Drosophila melanogaster: one gene and its partners. The protein of the gene in region 3 interacts with the protein of the main gene of each other region in a pairwise test. Each region holds a gene or a part of one and is shown on either strand. Other genes may lie near its edges. The genes, in order: CG15347, fax, Tsp42Eo and Cln7.

Evidence for each region.
Region 1: the proteins of Tsp42Eo (region 3) and CG15347 interact in a two-hybrid assay, tested with the Drosophila melanogaster proteins (one large-scale study listed by BioGRID).
Region 2: the proteins of Tsp42Eo (region 3) and fax interact in a two-hybrid assay, tested with the Drosophila melanogaster proteins (one large-scale study listed by BioGRID).
Region 4: the proteins of Tsp42Eo (region 3) and Cln7 interact in a two-hybrid assay, tested with the Drosophila melanogaster proteins (one large-scale study listed by BioGRID).

What each region holds. Positions count from the first base shown.
Region 1 is NC_004354.4:8,457,970-8,462,512, forward strand, and holds CG15347 (uncharacterized protein), read right to left. Parts: upstream 2,930-4,543; 5' UTR 2,855-2,929; coding exon 2,797-2,854; intron 1,414-2,796; coding exon 1,255-1,413; intron 1,201-1,254; coding exon 728-1,200; 3' UTR 525-727; downstream 1-524. Other genes in the region: Es2, read left to right, coding at 3,602-3,953, 4,096-4,543.
Region 2 is NT_037436.4:16,408,800-16,413,570, reverse strand, and holds the start of fax (failed axon connections), read left to right. Parts: upstream 1-1,742; 5' UTR 1,743-2,152; coding exon 2,153-2,569; intron 2,570-4,771. Other genes in the region: Serinc (serine incorporator), read right to left, coding at 1-323, 691-726. UniProt on the Drosophila melanogaster protein: Together with Abl, involved in embryonic axonal development.
Region 3 is NT_033778.4:7,052,718-7,057,126, forward strand, and holds Tsp42Eo (tetraspanin 42Eo), read left to right. Parts: upstream 1-1,999; 5' UTR 2,000-2,159; coding exon 2,160-2,219; exon of another isoform or gene 2,220-2,884; coding exon 2,885-3,058; exon of another isoform or gene 3,059-3,119; coding exon 3,120-3,275; exon of another isoform or gene 3,276-3,337; coding exon 3,338-3,535; exon of another isoform or gene 3,536-3,562; intron 3,563-3,619; exon of another isoform or gene 3,620-3,718; coding exon 3,719-3,790; 3' UTR 3,791-3,859; downstream 3,860-4,409. Other genes in the region: Tsp42En (tetraspanin 42En), read left to right, coding at 219-278, 346-519, 584-739, 810-1,004, 1,131-1,202; Tsp42Ep (tetraspanin 42Ep), read right to left, coding at 3,871-4,029, 4,097-4,409.
Region 4 is NT_037436.4:7,341,384-7,346,773, reverse strand, and holds Cln7 (Cln7), read left to right. Parts: upstream 1-1,590; 5' UTR 1,591-1,644; intron 1,645-2,389; exon of another isoform or gene 2,390-2,682; intron 2,683-2,828; 5' UTR 2,829-2,914; coding exon 2,915-3,106; intron 3,107-3,163; coding exon 3,164-3,670; intron 3,671-3,730; coding exon 3,731-3,882; intron 3,883-3,941; coding exon 3,942-4,538; intron 4,539-4,603; coding exon 4,604-4,796; 3' UTR 4,797-4,890; downstream 4,891-5,390. Other genes in the region: CG14834 (uncharacterized protein), read left to right, coding at 1-952; lark, read right to left, coding at 5,304-5,390.

The DNA of each region.
Region 1 (4,543 bases), on a different chromosome or scaffold from region 3:
ATTTCCACGTACGTATGTTGCCTATAAATAGTTAGTTTAGTTAACAAATCGCTGGAGCCGAGTACCATGCACAAAACTGATCTATTTCCGCACATCCAGTTCGATCGAATGGAAAATGGCATCCGGAAAAGCGAGCCGTGAAAAGTAATTGACAAACATTCGGAGGCGTCGACACATTTATGCACTCCTCATTTGCGCCGAGAGCTTCCGGTTTTCCAACTGCCACTCCGGTACTTGCGGCTCGTCGTCGATTTCTCTTGGTCTGGGATCGGAATCGAGGAATAGAGGTATAGGGTATCGCAATTGAAATCGGGACTTCATAAACACAGTGGCATGTTGTCAACTGCAGTGCCAACCCGTTGACACCTCGTAAAAAGTGAAATGTGTGTTCACTGTGTTTATGCATTAAAGTTTTATGCTTACTTTTGCTTCAAAAAACATTACGATGAAGAACTGTTCAAAGTGAGCAACGTTTTGGTTATCCCCCAATCCCAAAATGTAATAACTAAACCATTTCTATTTTTGTCTTCTTTAGTTTAGTTATCTTTATTAACGTTTTGTTCAAAGTAATGAAATAAACGAGTATAAATGTAACATCCCAGTGTATGTATGTATGTATAATGATGTTTTAGAATGTAGAAAATAATAAGACGGGAATTTCTAAAAGAACTGGGTCTGTGGCATGATTGACTTTCGTCCATCATTCGACTCTGGCCGTCGTTACATCTTAGAGTCTCCAGGCGGCGACAAGACCGCTGATCAGCAGCGTCATGGAGATGATCAACTGGGCACCGCTGTCGCGTGCCAGCGGAATGTTGGTATCATTGGCCAGCAGAAAGTTGCAGCCGCGTCCCTCGCACGTATAACAGTTGCCATCCTTGACGCACTGCTTCCTGGCATTCGCCGAGGTGAGACAGCCGCGCTGGAAGGATCCGTCCACGGTGCGATTGCTATTGCGAATGTAGCACTTGTCGCCGAACTTGTACAGCGGGCAGATCTTGGCCGATACATAGGTCTCTGTGGCGCAGGACGACGAGGTCGAGTTCCCTGTGCACTGTAGGCACATGAGGCGGCTCAACGGGAAGGTGTTTCGATTGCATCCCTCGCTGTAGGTGCACAGCTGGCACAGTAGCTCGTTGTTGCACGAATTACGCGTGGCGTTGTCCAGATCGACGGCACAGCCGCGAATTGTGTAGCCATCTGCGAAAGATACCATTAGATGGTGCAGCCAGGGTAATCAATGCGATAACATACCCAGGACGCGGGAATAGCAGTTGGAGGATCCATCGGAACAGTTGCGATTGAGCAGGCTCAATGGATCTGTGGCGCAGCGTTCGTTGTCCTTCGAATTGCACTGGATGCATCCATCTGCAAATTGAGCGAGTGGAACGGAGCGTTTCGATTGAGTCATGCCTGATTAGATTAGATCAAGTTTTTCGTAATCGTTGCGTTGGCATAATGACATCATATTGATTTCGTGCAAAGTCTGCCTACCTACCACAGTGCATATGTGTTTGAATGTGTTTGATTATTTCTTTTTATGTATCTACCTGCATGCCTTATTACAATGACGCGCACTGTACTCGGATGGCAATTGTCTCGATTTTCCACAATCGATTCTTACGAACATGCCCATGACAAGTGAATCAGCAAACTTGTATGTTTTTGATAAGAAGAGTCAATTTACATTGGCTATAAATCGAAAGCTTGCAAGCAAATTATATTTAGCATATCAGGTGGCAGTAAATATTAAATATTTACCAAGTGTTTACATGAAAGTACGAATGTACGAGATTATGTTTCAACTTTAATAATGAAACGGAATAACTATGTACTTCATCACAAAGAGAAATTAAATTACCGCTGACATACAGCTGTGTTCATAAAAATAGCAGTGCTTGAGTTTAAAATAAAAAAATCTTAAGATTTCAAGTTTTAATGGGAAAATTTTTTTTATAATATCATTAGGTATTTAATTTTAAACAATTCAACAAATGTTTCACATTCATTTTTTTAATAGTTTCGAAAATATAGATTAAAACAAGCAGAAATAGCAGTGCTATGAAAAAATAGTAACAAAATTCAACTTGACTTAGAACGAACTTATTCTTAGCCGATTTGCTTCTGCGTTTCTTTATTTTTTATTTTTTTAATTTATTGCCCTTTTAAATATACAAATTCAAATTCAAATTCAAACTCACTTTTTAGAAAATATTGATCATTTCGGGAGTTTACGTTGGTCAAAACCAGACACTGCTATTCTGTTGAACAGCCTAAAAGTTGTGATTTTGCTCAAGAATGTAAATAAAAAAAAGGATAGCATAGAAAACTAACGACATTTTCTTTTTTTCCCTATCTACACATTCCAATTCACAAAAATAAGTGGAATAAAAATTCGATCCCGAAACATGAAAAAAAAACCGTCGCATTTCTTAGTTTCTCTTGCACTGCTATTTTTTTGAACACAGCTGTATGTACACATGGTTTAAATATATGGCGTACAATTTTCACATCTTTTTGCTGGCTCACTCACACTTAGAAAAAAAAGAATATGTTTGCCCAGTTACAAAGCTAAGAACCTTTAAAAGTTTCTTTGGAAACTCGCCTATTGATAGCTTATCATGAATTTATTTCCGTGTCCATGATATCACCGCTTATCACACCTTATATAAAACACTCAATAAGTTTTTCAATTCAAAGAGCAAAAAGAAAATTAAAAAAAAAAAAATACGATCCCGATGAAAATTAAAAGTGAAACTTATTTTGGAACAACATTTAGGCAGGTACAACATTTACCACAACTGATGTAGGCCAAAAACGAGAGGGCTGCAATCACCAACAGGTAAAACTTCATGGCTGATAACTGATGTAACTAATTTCACGACGATCGAATGTTGCGACTGGTTACGGAGCTGAACCAGAACTAAGGGAGTAGAAAAGGTTCAATGAGTGATTTGAGTTTTGCCGAGCTTTATACCCTATTCATATATACCTACAGCTTTACGATAAGGCACCACGACAACAGTAATTCTATTGGTGAGTTGAGAAAAAAAAGTGTTTTGAAATGATTCACGACGCTAAAGTTGTCGCTCTTTGGCATACATTCATTTTCATAAATTATGTTCAGCGGGTTAGTCAGCGCACTTGCGAAACTTCCAGATGTTTTAAAAATATATCTTTAATGTTTGCAAAATCGTAATAAATTTCATTTTCAAGTGCTAGCTAATCGCATTAAAATTTCAATTCAAATGCTAGCGCGCATTTGAATGCGTTCCACACTTATCGATAACACGTCGATAAGTACTCCTTGCCAGAGTTTTTAATTAATATAGTTTAGCAAAATATCATTTTGTTTCTATTTAAATTTAAATTGGTTCATACTCACCAATTTATTGTAAAGGAAGTCGAAACTTTTAAGCTGATTAATTTCACCTTTTACATCCGAGAATTAAAAAAAAATACAGGGAAATATTTTGAACCGACGTTTTGTTATTCTGAGTGAAACTTAAAACGGTCACACTTTGCTGGCAGACAAAAATATTCACTTTTTATATCTAAACAAAACAAAGTTATTTACGAAAAAAGCGAGATATAAACGGCAATGAGCGCCACGACTAGAACACCTGCCACACCGGGGACACCTGGCACTCCCGGCAGCCTGGCCATGGAAGTGGCCCGCGTCCAGAATTCAGCACTCGCCGAGTTTAAAAAGCCCACGGCGATGGTGCGCCACAAGAACAAGCCAAAGATCCTTACCGAGGAGAAGTACATCGAGGAGATGTCTAAGATCATCCAGCGCGACTTCTTTCCCGATCTGGAGCGGCTGCGTGCCCAAAACGACTACCTGGACGCGGAGTCACGGCGCGACTTTGTACAAATGGCCGAGATTCGGGAGCGCTACAGTCTGGGCAGGATTTCCGGGACAGGAAGAAGCACCAGCCGACGGAATAATGGTGGGTATTGTACTCAATTGGATGAACACCACTGGCACATCGCTGTCTGCTACTATCTTACTTGAAATCAAGTCTGATGAAATTATACATTGGCCAAGTTCAATAGATAGACCCATTAACTTTTTGAATTCCTTCATTTCAGCCATGTCCCCGGCCACATTTGAGACACCAGTGAGTCAGGCGAAATGTAGCAACACCCCATTGCCAAATTCCCGGGCCACAGACACACCATTTTCCACGGACGGCTCCGAGAAGAGCGATGCCGAGGGCAGGGACACCACCGCGAAGCTATCGCTGGACGCCTTTCTGCAGAAGTACACCAGCGAGGATAACCAGAGCTTTCAGGAGATCATCGAAACGGCCGAGGCCAAGCTGCGCCAAAAATACGCAGTACTGTACAACCATGAGAAGCTCTCCGCAGAGCAACTGCAGCGGGCCCTAATGCTGCCCAGCATAGAAACGCAATTCGAGGAGCCAGATCCGCTGAGAAAGATCGAAACCTGGAACTACACCAACATGAATTCCATTATGTACGTGCCCGATGGCGTGGAGTACACAGAGGAGGAGCGCGTCCAGTTGGCCGAACGGAA
Region 2 (4,771 bases), on a different chromosome or scaffold from region 3:
AGTGACATCAGAGCGAAAAAGCAGGCCATGCCAAAGCAAACCCTATATACTGCCATGTAACCAAGTGCATACTCGCAGTCGACTTGCAGAGATCCTCCCGAGACAGCGCTGAGTGCTCCCGAGCTATACGACGAGGTGGAGTTGATGCAGAAGGGCATCTTCTTCAGGGTGTCCTGCAGTCCAGGGGACAGCGCAATCGCCCCCAGTACGGTGCCCACCAGGAGGATGAAGGCGTACATGAAGCGCGATGAGGAGGCGTTGGTGCAGCTCGGGCAGGCGGAGCAGCACATGCTGGCTGCAGTGCCTCCACAGCACATGGCGCACTGGAAATGCAAGAATTAAGTATTAAATGGAGACGCAATTGAAGAATTATTCTATTTGATCCAACTTGCTAATAAGTTTTGTCAATAATCCGGATTAATTGAATGATCAACCATCGAAAGTTAAGTTTGCAATACATTTTTCATATTGTTTTCAACTTATTAAAAATTTAAAAATTCATTAAAGTATCTAATAGCTCAAATTGCAAGCTAAATCTTTCTTTTAGATGAAAATCATAGCAGCATTCATGAGTATTGTGAAATTAATAAAATGTTGAATTTCTCCGCATTTGAAACATATGTCTGCTTTTATTGATTTGTAGCCAATGTAAAGAATTTTACCTGGCTAATTAGCTCGCAATTTTCTTACCTGAGCGGCTGAACAGATGCCCAAAGCAGCTCCCATTGTTGCAGCAATAAACTTAGATTTTTACTTTAGTCAAACTGCGTTTTTATTAAATTAAACAAATCTTTGTTTGTGAAAATGATAGAGATGGACTATTTACTGCCTATAGTGACTATCGAATACAGCGGCTGGCGATATTTTTCAGCAATCGTAAGCAGTTGTAAATTTAAAAGTAAATGGGATCAATTCTTTCGCATATTTGCATTTTAAAAATGCTCTTTCAATGTCTTAAATTTTTCAATATGTTTCAAATTTTAAAATTTATAGTTTTAAAATTGAAGTAAATTACTGCAATTTTCTGTACTTCCACAGTTGCCATGCTGATTTCTGCAAAAGTCGGGAGGTGCCATCCGTTCCCTATTCAAATTTCAAAACTTCTGCCACTCCCTCCCAGATGGCGCTTTGCAGTTTCTCAAAACAAAATAGTTTGTCTCCTAAAATAAACTAACAAACGTTATAAATAAACATAAAACATTATTGAAAGCTGAATGAGAGAGAAAGTTCAGATCAATTTTTGTGAATTAAATCATAAACTAATATTATATTTTGAATTAACTTAACTATTGTAACAGTTATTGATAGAGTCGAAATAGGTAATACAGAAAAAGGTTCTATTGATAGTAGTTTTAAAAGGGTATCTGTTCAGTCAACCAGCTAATATTACCGCTCATAAATCTTTAAATGTGTACATAAATGGAGATGTTCTTAATTTTAATAAATCTAGTCGCGAAACTCGAAACTTTACCTAAGGATCGAGAAAACATTTGTTCATAAATTGAGCGTAAGCATAATGGAATATTATTTAAAAAGTTACTTAATATCATTCTTTACTTGTGTTATAAATTAGTTGCTTATAATTTAGGTTGACTCCACAATTTTAAAATTTTTACTCATATAAGTTTTTATAAAATCTATTCCTTGATCTTAATTTCCAGTCACTGGAAGTGGGTTATTTTTAGTGCATCTGCACTCGGCCGATTGCATTCGAGAATACGTTCGCACGCGGCATCTGGCCACACTGCCTGCAACGCTAGCTCGCCTTCGCAACGCGAATCCGCTCATTTCAAATTTTCAAACTCCCGAGAGCGGTTGCGGCGGTGTCGAGACAGCGGCTCCTGAATCCATCCGAATCCGAAAGCGAATCGCATCCAGCCAAGATATCCTATCGTGCAGCTGAAACCCGAAACCCGAATCCGAGTTCGAAACGAAACGAATCGCAGTGGTGGTTTCTCTCTCGCTCTCTAGCTCTCCCTCTCTCTCGCGTGTGTGTATGTGTGCGAGTGGCAGGAAAAGTGCGAAGCCGAAATCTTTTTAGCTGAAAGAAAGCGCAACTTCAATTAGCGAAAAGCAAGAGTAGCTAACAAAAAGAAAAGCGGATCGAAAAGTAAAGAAAAACAAAAAAAAAAAACAAAAGCAACAAATCGAAATGGCAAGCGAAGTGGCCCAAATACCCGCCGAGGAAACGCCCGCAGTGGCGGCGGCGGAAAAATCAGAGGAGCCGGAAAAGTCAGCGGCCCCGCCAGCGGACTCAGCGGCCGCTCCAGCTGCCGCCCCCGCAGTGGAGAAGGCTGAGGATGCCGATGGCGAGAAGAAGGACGGCGAGGCCGGAAAGCAGGACAAGCAGCAGGATGGCGAGGAGCCCAAAAAGGACGAGGCGGTGGCAGCACCCGTGGCGACCAAATCGGAAGCCCCGCCCGCCCAGAAATTCAATGTGCACAAGACCAACTTCGAGAAGGACATCATCTATCTGTACCAGTTCTCGCGCACCCCACTGCTGCCCTCCCTGTCGCCCTACTGCCTGAAGGTGGAGACCTGGCTGCGTCTTGTGGGCCTGAAATACGAGGTGAGTGGTGGTCATAAATCCGGGGAAAAAAACCATAGAAAATTCATGAAAACCTCATTATAAATCGAGCCATCATTTGGCATCCTTCAAAGTACCCAGGATAATTAGGGAAAACCCAAAAACGGACTAGGTAGAATCCCAGGAAGAGCCGAAAACTCTCAGATATTCCAGAAATCCCAGATTTTCAAGGCATTTTTGCGGTACAGATTTTTTCCCAGCTCCTGCGGGAGAGAGCGAGAGAGCTCGGGGAAGAGAGCCAGCGCCGCCATCATGGTGTGCTGCTAAGCCTGCCCGTGTGCATGTGTGTGTGTGACCTGCCCTGCCCCGTAACTGAAAAGGGATACATTTGTGCCGCCTTCCCTCTCTCTCCCAGCGCCCATGCCTGTGTGTGTGAACCTGTAGCCTGGTCCTTTGCGCGTGTGTGTGTGCACAGCGTATACATAAAATTTGTGTGTGCGCCGACGCCGCCCCTCACCCCTTCATCTCTTTGTGCTCCCCTTTGCAAAAGTCGTGCTTCAAATTTTGCACTTGCCGACTCTCTCCTTTTGTCTCGCTCCCTCTCTCGCCGTCTGCTCTTTGTCTTTTGTTGCTGCACTGTTTTTTTTTTATTTCACTTTTCTTTCGACTTCTTTTTGCACTGCACGAAAAGTTGTCATCTCTATGCGCTGCATGCATCTTTTCTTAGCATCTTCGAGATCCATGCAACTGTGCTCTCACTCCATCCACACAACAGCAAATTTTCTCTCTGTATACTTTAGCAGGAGCAGCAGCAGCAGCTTGTAATTGCTTTTAATAAAAATTGATGCAGTTTAAGCTGGACTCAGAAATAGCTGTCTCCCTCTTCGCCTTCCAACTCCCCTTCTCCTTTTCCCTTTCTTTTCTTATCCGTTAAGTAGCTGTAATAGTGTTGGGGGCTGGGTGGGGGGAGTGGCAGACAAACAACTGTCAACGACTTCCAATGGTGCCTTCCATTTTGGCTTGTTGTTTTTTCCTTCACTTTTTAAAGCGCGCGATGCGGTTTGCATATTTTTCATATTTTTTCTGTGCGAGAGGAAAAGCGTGTAGTATGTGGTAGTGGCCGGGGGAGAAATGGGTGCGGTCACCCGCACAAAAACTGGCGACGCAATTGCTGTTTAATCTTATTAATTACATTGGTTAATGAAAAACGAGCCCCTTGCGCGGAATGTTAATTGATGCCGTCGCCTTCCAGATGCCGATAAGCAATCGCCCCCATATGTTGCATTCCACGAAGCAATTATGATTGACAGTCCGTCAGTGGCCGCTTTTCGGCCCGCAGCTGGAAATTACTTTCCATTTTCACGATTATTCCCAATTCCACTGATAAGGCGCAGGCTGCCCAAAATACGGCGGCATTCGATTAGTAGGAAGGAGGGAGTGGGGGGTGGGTAAAAAAAAGAGTTCAACAAACTGGGGACCTTTGACATTTCTGGCATGGTTTGTTGTTGCTGCAGCGCGGCATTAATCATGGAAAAAAAGGGAGGGTGACTGACTGTAAATGCAACTGACTAAGCCAGTTTTCCCCCCTGCTGCTTGCGCTCGGCTGCATTTCTTGCCTGCTCTCCTCCTTTGTGTACACACATTCGTCAGTGTAAACAAGAGCAGAAGTTGTTTCTTTATTGATGATAAACCGAATGCATATTTTTTTCACACCACATTGAAGGCGGCGCCCATTAATAAGCACAGCAGCAACAACAACAACAACTGGGCATAAGTTTCGCTTTTGAGGCGGTGGCCCGCATTGCTAGCATTCCTGAGTGTCGCGCTCGTAGATTGTGCAATTAATTTACATTTTCTCTGCCATATGCATTGCGGGCACAGAGCGATTAAAATTCAAATGGAAATGCTGGCGCGCCATTGCATTTGTGCAATATTGCCGGGCTGCAATTTCAAGGTATTCTGGCAACGCTGCTGCCTCTCCTGCTGCAACTGTACATGTGCGAATGTGTGCGTATCGTATGTCCATGTGTGCGTGTGTGTGTATGTTGGGAGGAAATGGAGTTTTTTTGCTTCTCGTTTTTGTATTTTTTACGTTTTATAGCTGCCTTTGTTTTAATTAATAAACCGCATATTTGCATTTAAACAACACACAGTGGACGGCCTTTGTTGTTGCTCACTCGCTCCAGTGCAATTCTCCCGCTCTCGCTCTCTCTCTCTGGAACTTCTGTGCAAGGGTGTGGATAC
Region 3 (4,409 bases):
AACCCACTAACTGGCGCTTTCGGGGGCGCCACATTTCAAATGGAAAGCGTTGCGCTCAGTCGCACGTCAACCTCTATGCCAATAGGGCTGGCGGATTTCATTGGGTCTTCGCTTCTCCGGTGGTCGACGCTTCGGGTCAAGTGCGCAGCGGAAAATTGGTGCGGGAACAAGGATAAACGCACCTTCGTGGTTAATTATAGGGATTATTGATTGGCAACATGGACTGCCGCACATCGTTCCTGAAAGCCGTTCTTATCGTTCTCAATGTGCTGCTATCGGTGCGTATGAGTGACGTTGGAGCCAATTGGGCACTAGCCAACGGACCTAATGTGACTTTATTGGCAGCTGATTGGAGTGACGTTGATTGCTCTGTCCGTGTACGAGCTGAACAGCTCCACGCCGGGCACCTTCGAGCACATCGCCATCGTTGTCCAGATCTTCGTGGGCACCTTCGTGGTCCTGACCTCGTTTCTGGGCTGCTTTGCCACCGCTCGGGTTTCCCTGGGACTGGTTTGGAGCGTAAGTGAAGCCTTCAATTGATACATCAACTAAATTCACATAATATTTATATGTCCTCCGGTAGTATGTGATCTGCCTGCTGATCCTGCTGTGCCTGCAGATTTATATTATCGCGGCAGCCCACTCCACGGACTACGTGGAGCGATCCAAGAAGGATTTCCTGGCCACCTGGGCTGATCAAAGGACCAATGTGGAGCGCATATCGCTCCTTGAGCAAAAGGTAAGTCCAATACTTGGGATTAGTATATTGCTATTTGCGGGTCATCACGACCAATTTCATTCCTTCCCAGTACTCCTGCTGCGGCCAGTTGGGCGCCCATGACTACATCCTGATGGGACGGGGTATACCCTTGAGCTGCTACAAGGATCAGGAGCGGCGCGAGTACAGCCTCTTCTCCGGGGGCTGCCTGCAGGCCGTGCAGGCGCATGCCACGGACAACGTGGCCATCGGACTCATCATCAAGTGGCTGCTGCTTCTGGTGGAGGTATGTAGATTCCATGCCGGCCTTGGCCACATATTTCCGAGGGCTTGGCTGGCCAAGGGCGGTGCATAAATAGATGCCACACTCAGACGCTGGGCTCTAATCGAATTTTCCGTTCTCTCCACACAGTTCGCCGCCCTGGGAGCCGCAACCCACTTGGGCATCACGGTGCGCAATAAATTGCGGCGCGAAAGATTCTAACAGGTCGCTTGGAATCATCGAAATCGGGTGTTGGCAACGCATAATCCGATATCTATGGATTTTTATAGCAGTTTAAGATGATCTGGAGGCAACAGAAGCGTAGAATAAAAAATAAACCAAAATCATAATATTCAATAAGTGTTGTTTGTGCCCACTATATGCGGAATTTCGGCGGGCCTGCTAAGTAGATGTATGTTGCCTATAAAGATGCGTATAAAAATATACGAAAACATTGGGTGCACTCAAAGAATATCTTCTACATATGAAAAGAATTCCGTTTTAAAAGAAAAATAACTATAATAGGCTCTAGGCATTCGATTTTTCGACTATGAGATACCCCTTCCACAGCTAATGGGAGTACGAGGAGATATGCTATACGACAGTAACATATATATACTGATAATTTCACCCGATCTGCTAGAAGATTCTTGACCTGTTGTTAAGTTAAGTTACCCATTTCTATTGAAATAAAAATATCTAGTACAATCACTGGGTAAATTTCGGTCAGTTATTTAAACTTATTTCAAAGTTATAAGGCATCTATACAATAAATCTTAAATTTTTATAGGCGTAATTATAATGTGTTTCTCTCAGTGTCGGGCGGATGGGGCGGGGTGCCATTGAGGTCTGGTGAACGCCGGTCTCCTGAGTAACGACCGGCACACGAAACGCCGAAACGGAGACCGAGACGGACACGGATGCGGACACGGACGGCCACTCGGCGGATTTGTAAACAGTTCGCAGCTTCTTAGCGCTTTTTCGGGTCTTGCTTTATTTTGGCCCCGACCGATGTCCGACGGCACTAACGGTTCGGTCACCGCCACGCACAGACGGTCGAGAGTGGAAAGCGAATTTTCCCGGGAAACGCGTCCGCTGCCTGGAGTCGCTGCTCGGATGAGCGCTGAATAAGATTGATCAAAAATAAAGAAACAGAAAAAACTGCATCGCAAGTAAAAAATGCCCACGGTTCGCGTGTGCCTACAATGGACCTCGGTTGTCTTCAGTACGCTGACGTTGGTAAGGAGGATATCTTGTGGGAAAACGCGTTAGTATTACGCATCATTAGCCGACATAAACTTTCCATGATCGCCACTGGGAAACGCAAGCCACAGGCCAAGCATTTATTCATTGTCACTGTTCCTTGATAATTTCAGTGCAACTGTTCTTGAGTCACACACTGCGTATGAGTAATAAAAGCACTTGCTGATGGAAATCACGATTCAAAATTAACTCGCCGCTGGCAGTCTGTCAAAGCACGATCATAAAGTGTCTTTCATTCTTGTCCATTTTTCATTGCCGCTTGTAATTTCTTACTGGACGGGCCGAGTAGCTGGCCAATTTGGCAGCAAACAAATCTCATTCAAAATTTCCATTTCCACCAGACAAGATGTCACTTGGCGGCTCTCGTTCTGCCCACTTTTGTTGGCCAGTCGCATTTTCGGCACAATCGAAGCGACAGCAACAAGAAAGGAAACTGTGTATGTGCCATTTAAAAATAAAGCCCAAAGTAATTTAATTTATTTTTGCGCCCGGTTTGTTTTTATTTTGGTTGTTCTCGCTACCCGATGACGTATCCCACGAGCCGAAAGTTTGTCTCTGAAGATTTTGTTTGCCCATTTCATGGGCCATTAACAAACGCTTAATGTGCGCAGGCATAATTCATAATTTTAATACCGATCCAGATCGTCGGCGTCCTTGCGGCCCTGGCCGGCGTCTATGAGCTGGATAAGTTCAACGAGGGCTCTGCGGAGCACACAGAGAAGTTCGTCCAACTGGGAATGGCAGGTGCTCTGATCTTGGCCGGACTGGTCGGTTGCCTGGGTGCCATATTCGGTTCCATCAAGGTGATGGTGGTGGTAAGTAGCCAGAACAGATGGTTTGTCGATTGATGAGCACTTCCAATGCCTCGGCTTTTAGAACTTGATTCTGCTTCTGGCTCTGATAGCCTCGCACATCTGGAAGGTGTCCCACTACAATGAGACCAAACAGCTGGACGCCACTGAGGTGTACGTGATGGATCTCTGGATGAAGGAGCTGGTCCATCACGGCGCCATGCAAGACTTGCAGCAGGAGGTGGGTCCTTCCCCAGAGCGATCATGCTACGATCCTTAAATGCCCTCTTTCCCCTTTTCCAGTACGAGTGCTGTGGCGACAAGGGATTCTCCGACTACACGAGCCTCAACATGAAGGTGCCTCGCAGCTGTTTCCACACCAAGGACGGCATTCACGCCTTGTATCCGTATGGGGAGGGCTGCATGGCTGCCGTGAAGCGGGCTTATCTGCAGATCTACCGATACGAGAAATGGGTCCACTGCGGACTTATTGGCTACGAGGTGGGCAAAGCTTTCAGACCTGCAAGACTTATTAGCAAAATGTAGCTATGATATATGTACATTTGAAAATGGAAAGCTATTAACCTCGAATTTGCAAGTCTCTAGTAGCACTTGTCGAACAAAATGATTGAGAACTGACAGGCATTAAATGTTTAATGCAACACTTTGTTTCTTTTATTACAGGTCGTAGGCATCATCTTGGGTATCACCTTGTGCTGCCAGCTGACCAACAAGACTCGTCGCTACACCTACTAACCACGAATGACATTTATAGATAAGCACTTGCCACTTGGATAAATAATAAACCAAAGTTTTCATAAGATCTTAATGGTAGCTCAGGCGTCGTTCAGTAGGTGCGCACGAGAGGCGGACACATGGTTGGAGCGCGGTTCCCGCCGCACACCTGGCGGCACCTGTCTTCGTGCGATGCGCTGCCGCTGTCGTAGTCGAAAGAGCAGCACACTCAGCGCCACAGTTTGCAGCAGTATGAAGATCTGCGGCGAGTGAAGAGATGGATGATTATTCGAGAAACTGCACTTCAGCCGCAAGTCAATTTCCCACCTCAAGGCCAACGATGGCCCACATGTAGAGCTTATCGCGGTGCTGGATGTACCGCTGGCTGCGGTTCAACGTCTCGAGGCAGCCGCTTGGATAGATCTGCTGGGCGGTGTCATTAACAGCGGCCTGATAACAACTCGCCGGCACCAGCAGATGCAGGCGCTTGTAATCGTCGGCACCATTGTAGCCGCAGCAGTGCTGGGAGGCCTCGTACTGGTGCATGAGCTCGGGGTCTCTGTCCAGGCCATGCCAAGCTAATTCCAGTTGCTGCCAGGCGCCACCCGGGCTCCTGAGGGACGGACTGTGATAGTGGTGC
Region 4 (5,390 bases), on a different chromosome or scaffold from region 3:
TACTGAGTGCATTCGCACCATGCAGATGAATGCCAAGACGTTGAATCTACCATTCGAAATCGTCATCCAGGGACCGAGCAGCAATCGCTTTGTGCGCAACGCACAGCAGTTCGAGCAGAAGCGAGATCTGGTGGCCAGGAGCGCCAGCACTTCAATGCAGTCGCCTCGAAATCGTCGCTCAAACATAACCATCTACAAGCCCTCCACAAAGTTGGTCATTCAACGTACGGCCAATGGCTTAGAAACGCCATCCAAGGCTTCGGAGCAGATAAGGCACAAGAGGTCCGTCGATCACCTGGAGTGGTTCAATGACTTTGCCAGTTCCTTGGTGCGTCCCTCGCCACTGGGCACTAGAGCCCAGAAGCAGCAGCGTGCATCAGCCAAGCCATCGGCATTCAAGCGTCAGGCTGAGCTGGAGGAGCCGGCTCGTCGGGAACCATGGTTCCTGGAGCAGTCAGCTTCGCGACTGACTCGCCCCGCTCCACTTAAGAAGGATGCACTCTCGCGGAAGAACAAGAAGAGTCCTTTGTTCCGAAAGAGCGCCAAGAGCAAGGCGTCCAAGGAGCAGTCGCGCAAGCAACCGGAGCGAGAGATTCGGCCACTCCGCGATGCCTTGCAGGTGGTGGAGCGGATACCCAAGGTGCTTCAAGATACGGTCAGTCATCTGTCCTCCGATCCACGCACTGGGGATGTCTTTAGCCTGAATATTAGAAACGAGGATGTGCCGCAGAAAAAGGATCGCCAGCCTGAGGATCGTGTGCCACGCAGGCCTAGCGCCACCTTCCGTGGTTTCCGGCGCAATGAGATCATCCCCGAAGCCGTCACCCTGGCTGCCCCAATGGACCTTGCCCCACGAGCTCCACTTCCCGGCCAGCGTCCAGGTGGACTCCTGCTGCCCTGGCTGAGGCAGCGGCGACTGATGCGTTTGCAGCAGGCACAGGGAAATCTGTAGACCCAACATACCCAATTTACTTTCACTTTTATTATTATAATCATTTGTTGTATATTTATAAGGCATTTTGGTCTCTCAAAAATAAATATAAATTTGCACATTATAGTGTTCTGCAGTAGCAGCGAAGATAGAAGCGTTCGAAATTAAAGTATCTGAAGTAGTAAGATCTTTATGTACCTGTAACAATATGAAGGCGTTCTTAAAGATCGTTTTCCAATGAGTCATTATAGTATTCACACACGCAGGTAGAAGTTTGGTAGGTTAGACAGGTTTCTATAGAACTCCATTCTTCAGTTTCCCTATTATTTCAATTGGATCTCGAATCGAATCTCAAAGATACATCTATTCTACTGATGATCTAGTATAATAATGATAATTTGAAGAAGGAGTATTGGTGTTACATGGATTGTGGATTGATAACAAGTTACTATACTATGCTTAGGAATATTTTGCCTGAATAGAAAACCCTTGCGATCTATCTTACAGATGCCATAGATTTCGGAGTATCTAAGTAGCATACTTTCGGGCGCGGGTGCTATCTGCCGTTGGCTCCTCTCTCTCTTCGGGCAGCTCCATCACGCTCTGTGGCGACGCGTCGTCCGATTTGTTGGCAACAGGCGCTGCCGCGTCAGTTCAGTTCAGTCCGTCGCGTTCGTTCATCTCCAGTGGTCGTCGCTGTTCCGCTGCAACAGGTAGTTAAAAAGACATAGCCCGATTGGTAAAAGGTGCATTACCCGCTGGAAGCCCCACAAATAGGATGCGCGCGGTAGGGGGGTGCCCTTGAGTTCTAGATGCACAGAAAGATACATGCACGCAGATACAGATACAGATACAGATATAGCCATTGGCAGAGGGAGAAAAGCGCTTTCTTTGCGTTTGGTTAAATATTACAAAAATCGAGTGAGAGGAAGCGGGAGAGCGAGAGTGAGACAAAGAAAGAGTAATTTAAAAAAAAACAAAGAGTGCATGTTTCCATTTAATTTACATAGTTTTGCTTCAGTGTGTGACGAAAAACAAAATACAACTTAGTAAGCTAAGTAATTTGAAAATCAAAGCAAGGAGTGCAAAGGCAAAGTAGCTTAACGAAAAAAACAATAGGCAGCCAAAGATCAACGGTCGCTATCTCATATCTAGTATCTTGTATCTGAAAGATGTGTGTGTGTGTGTTTGGGTACTTCGAGAACGAGAATCTGGCGCTCAACTAAAAAAAAAAAGAAAAAAAAAAAACCAACTGCATCAATTGGCAATTGGTATAATCAATTAGAAATTGATTTGCGACGGAGTGATCTTCAACCAGTGATGATTTGATTGATGTAGGAAGTGGACAAGTCTGATTGATATGGCTAATCGCTGCACTTGTTGCACTATCGAAAACTAAAGTTATAACAAAATGTTTTTATTTCGTACCCTGTACTGGGGCGAATCAATTTCTTTTGCTCTGATAAATGAAATCATGTAATAAACTGACGTTCTGTACGAACCTTATCATGCCATATAAACAAAAACAATGGCATACTCACAGTGATAGTGGCTCTTACTAAAGAAAAACGACATACAGACACCCGCACATGGCAACGAATAACTACAAACAGCTTTATTTCGGCACCGATTGCCTTTATCTTCCGCAATTTGTGTGATAAGTTCAGCAAACTGTTTTCCATATCTGTGGTTTTTTCGGAGGAGGATAATCACGCGACGTCTGGCAGATAATCCACTCCATCCATATTCAAGTAATTGAAGGCACCGCCGATTAGAGACATACTCTACTCTGAATCATTAATAGTTACAAGACTTTAAAAGCGTGTCTAACAACTGACACATCGATTCACAAAAAGCTCCATAAAGAAAAAAAAAACTCATTCGAATCCATTTACAGAATGACTCAGTGGCGGTGAAATCCAGCAAACACACATCCATCGCAGCCAACCAACCCATCAAACATCACAGCCAAGCAAACCAATTATGGAGTTTGCCCGCCGAGTTTCCGCTCGCTTTGAAACCAAAAGACTGCCGGAGGATGTGGACGATGGCCTGGAGACGCTGGAGGAGTACAAGCAGCGCTGGCGCTCCGTCCGCATCATCTACTTTACGATGTTTCTGATGGCGCTTGGCTTCAGCATCATACTCACAGGCATTTGGCCCTACCTCAACAAGGTGCGTACCCATTTTGGTCACGCTATCCAGCTGCTTTTCAATCTCATCTCTCTTCAGCTAGATCCCGATGCGGGCAAGGAGTTTATGGGACTGATTGTGGCCGCCAATCCGCTGGGACAAATGATCTTCAGTCCGATCTTTGGGTGGTGGGGCAACAAGCTGGGCAAGATTCGTCTGCCACTGCTGCTATCGCTGTCTCTATTCACGCTGGCCAGTGGCATATACTCCTCGCTGGAACTGCGTCCGGACAATGTGAAGTACTGGATGCTCTCCTCGCGGTTCCTCATCGGTGTCAGCTCGGCGAATATTGCCCTGTGCCGCTCCTATTTGTCCGCTGCGACACGAATCAGCGAACGCACACATGCCGTTGCAATGGTTTCGCTGGCACAGGTCCTTGGATTCATCATTGGTCCAACTCTGCAGGCGGCAGTCACACCGCTGGGAGATCAGGGACACGTCTGGCTGTGGGGCAAGATGCACTTCAACATGTACACGGCATCCGGATGGATCAATGTGCTGATGAGCATTGGAAACTTCATGATGTTCCTGCCCGGAGTGTTTGAGGTGAGTGGCCAGGTTACTTGGTTCGCTCTAAAGTGTCATTAAATTTGAACACTCCTTCAGGAGCACAAAATTGCAGCTCGCGAGGTGATGGTGATGCAGGGCGGCACATCCGAGAAGGAGACTTGGAAAGGCATCAAGCCCAGCTATTTATCCGCATGGACTTTGATCGTCGCCTTCTTTGTTCTGGTATTCAACTTTGTGCTGTTGGAGACGTGAGTAATCCTCAGAGTGGGTTTTTTTTTTTTTAAACTATTGCTTCCTCGCCTTGCAGTCTGGGCACATCCCTGACAATGGATATGTTCGCTTGGTCCAACGACGAGGCCCTATGGTACATGGGCATCATGATGACCACCGCAGCTATTGTCTCCCTGGTCACGTTCGTTTTGATTGAGCCCATGTGCAAGATTATAGCCGAGCGTTATGTGCTCATCTGGGGCGGATTCTCGCTGATGTTTCTCGGTCGCGTGCTCTTCGTGCCTTGGGGTCCGGATCCGCCAAAGTTGGCGCAGCCATTCAATGCCAGCTGGAACCTAAGCGAAAGCGATCCCATCTTCTTGGGCTGCCCCACAACGCAGAAATGGTGCGGCGAACTGCCGGCCTTGACCTTAACGCAGTTCATCATTGGATTTGCCTTCACATCGATAGGATATCCCATTGGGGTGACTCTCATCCAGACCATATTCTCCAAAGTTCTGGGACCTCGGCCGCAGGGCGTCTGGATGGGCTGGATGACCGGTTCGGGTTGTCTGTCCCGCGTCCTTGGTCCAGTCTTCGTGGGATCCATCTACACGCGCCTAGGTACGTTCTGGACCTTCGGCGTTACTTCGGCCATGATGCTGGTCTCCATGTTTTGGCTACAGTGCAGCAAGTAAGCTGAAATACTATTCGTTTTTAAGGCGGTTCCCCACAATAAATAACATGTTATCTTTTCAGTCGATTACTAATCCCGCCAACATTCGAAAAGACCACACCTGTCGAGCTGAAAGAACTGAACAAGCACAATGGTAGCAAGCTGCTGGACGACCACTCACCGGACACGCACAATGGTAGCCCACCGGAAGATCTGTCTCCTGATCAGCCCATTTTGGGCAAGCACGGCAGCCAGCACTCGATTTCACATGCGTAACGACGGCTGGCTATGGAGCATCCGTAGATCTAAGACACATCGTTGCAATACTGCCCCTTAAACTAGCTTTAAAATACAGTGTTTATTTTTGCACAGTTTCGACTGATTATGCGTTTATTGGTACTACGGTTGAATGTGTAGAGGTTGCACGTCGTTGTCTAGTTCTTTTTTTTTTTTGGCGTGTTTTGCATATAGGGAGGATGCTTAAACACGTATTTCCATCTTCTTGTTTAAGTGTACGAGTAATGGTTAGTTTGGGTTTAGTAACATGTATGTGGTTTACCAAGGCGGCAGCCACAGTTGTGAAATTGTCGTCGGCATCAGCATGTGCTGCTGGTGTGCTTGGTGGTGATGGTAGTAGGCCGCCGCTGGCGACCAGCAGAGCAGCCAGCAGTCCACAGGCGCCGTTCTTCGATTGCTGGTCGTGTGGTAGAATGTGTGACCCATTGGCAGGGGCATGGGTAGTGCAACCGCTACTCAGCTGCTGCCGTGATAGTAAAACTCATCTCAGTAGGGCGCATATCTGCGACCCGGCGGCGATGGACCGCGCATTCCGCGCGACGAAATCATGCGTTCGTCGAATGCATCGCGACT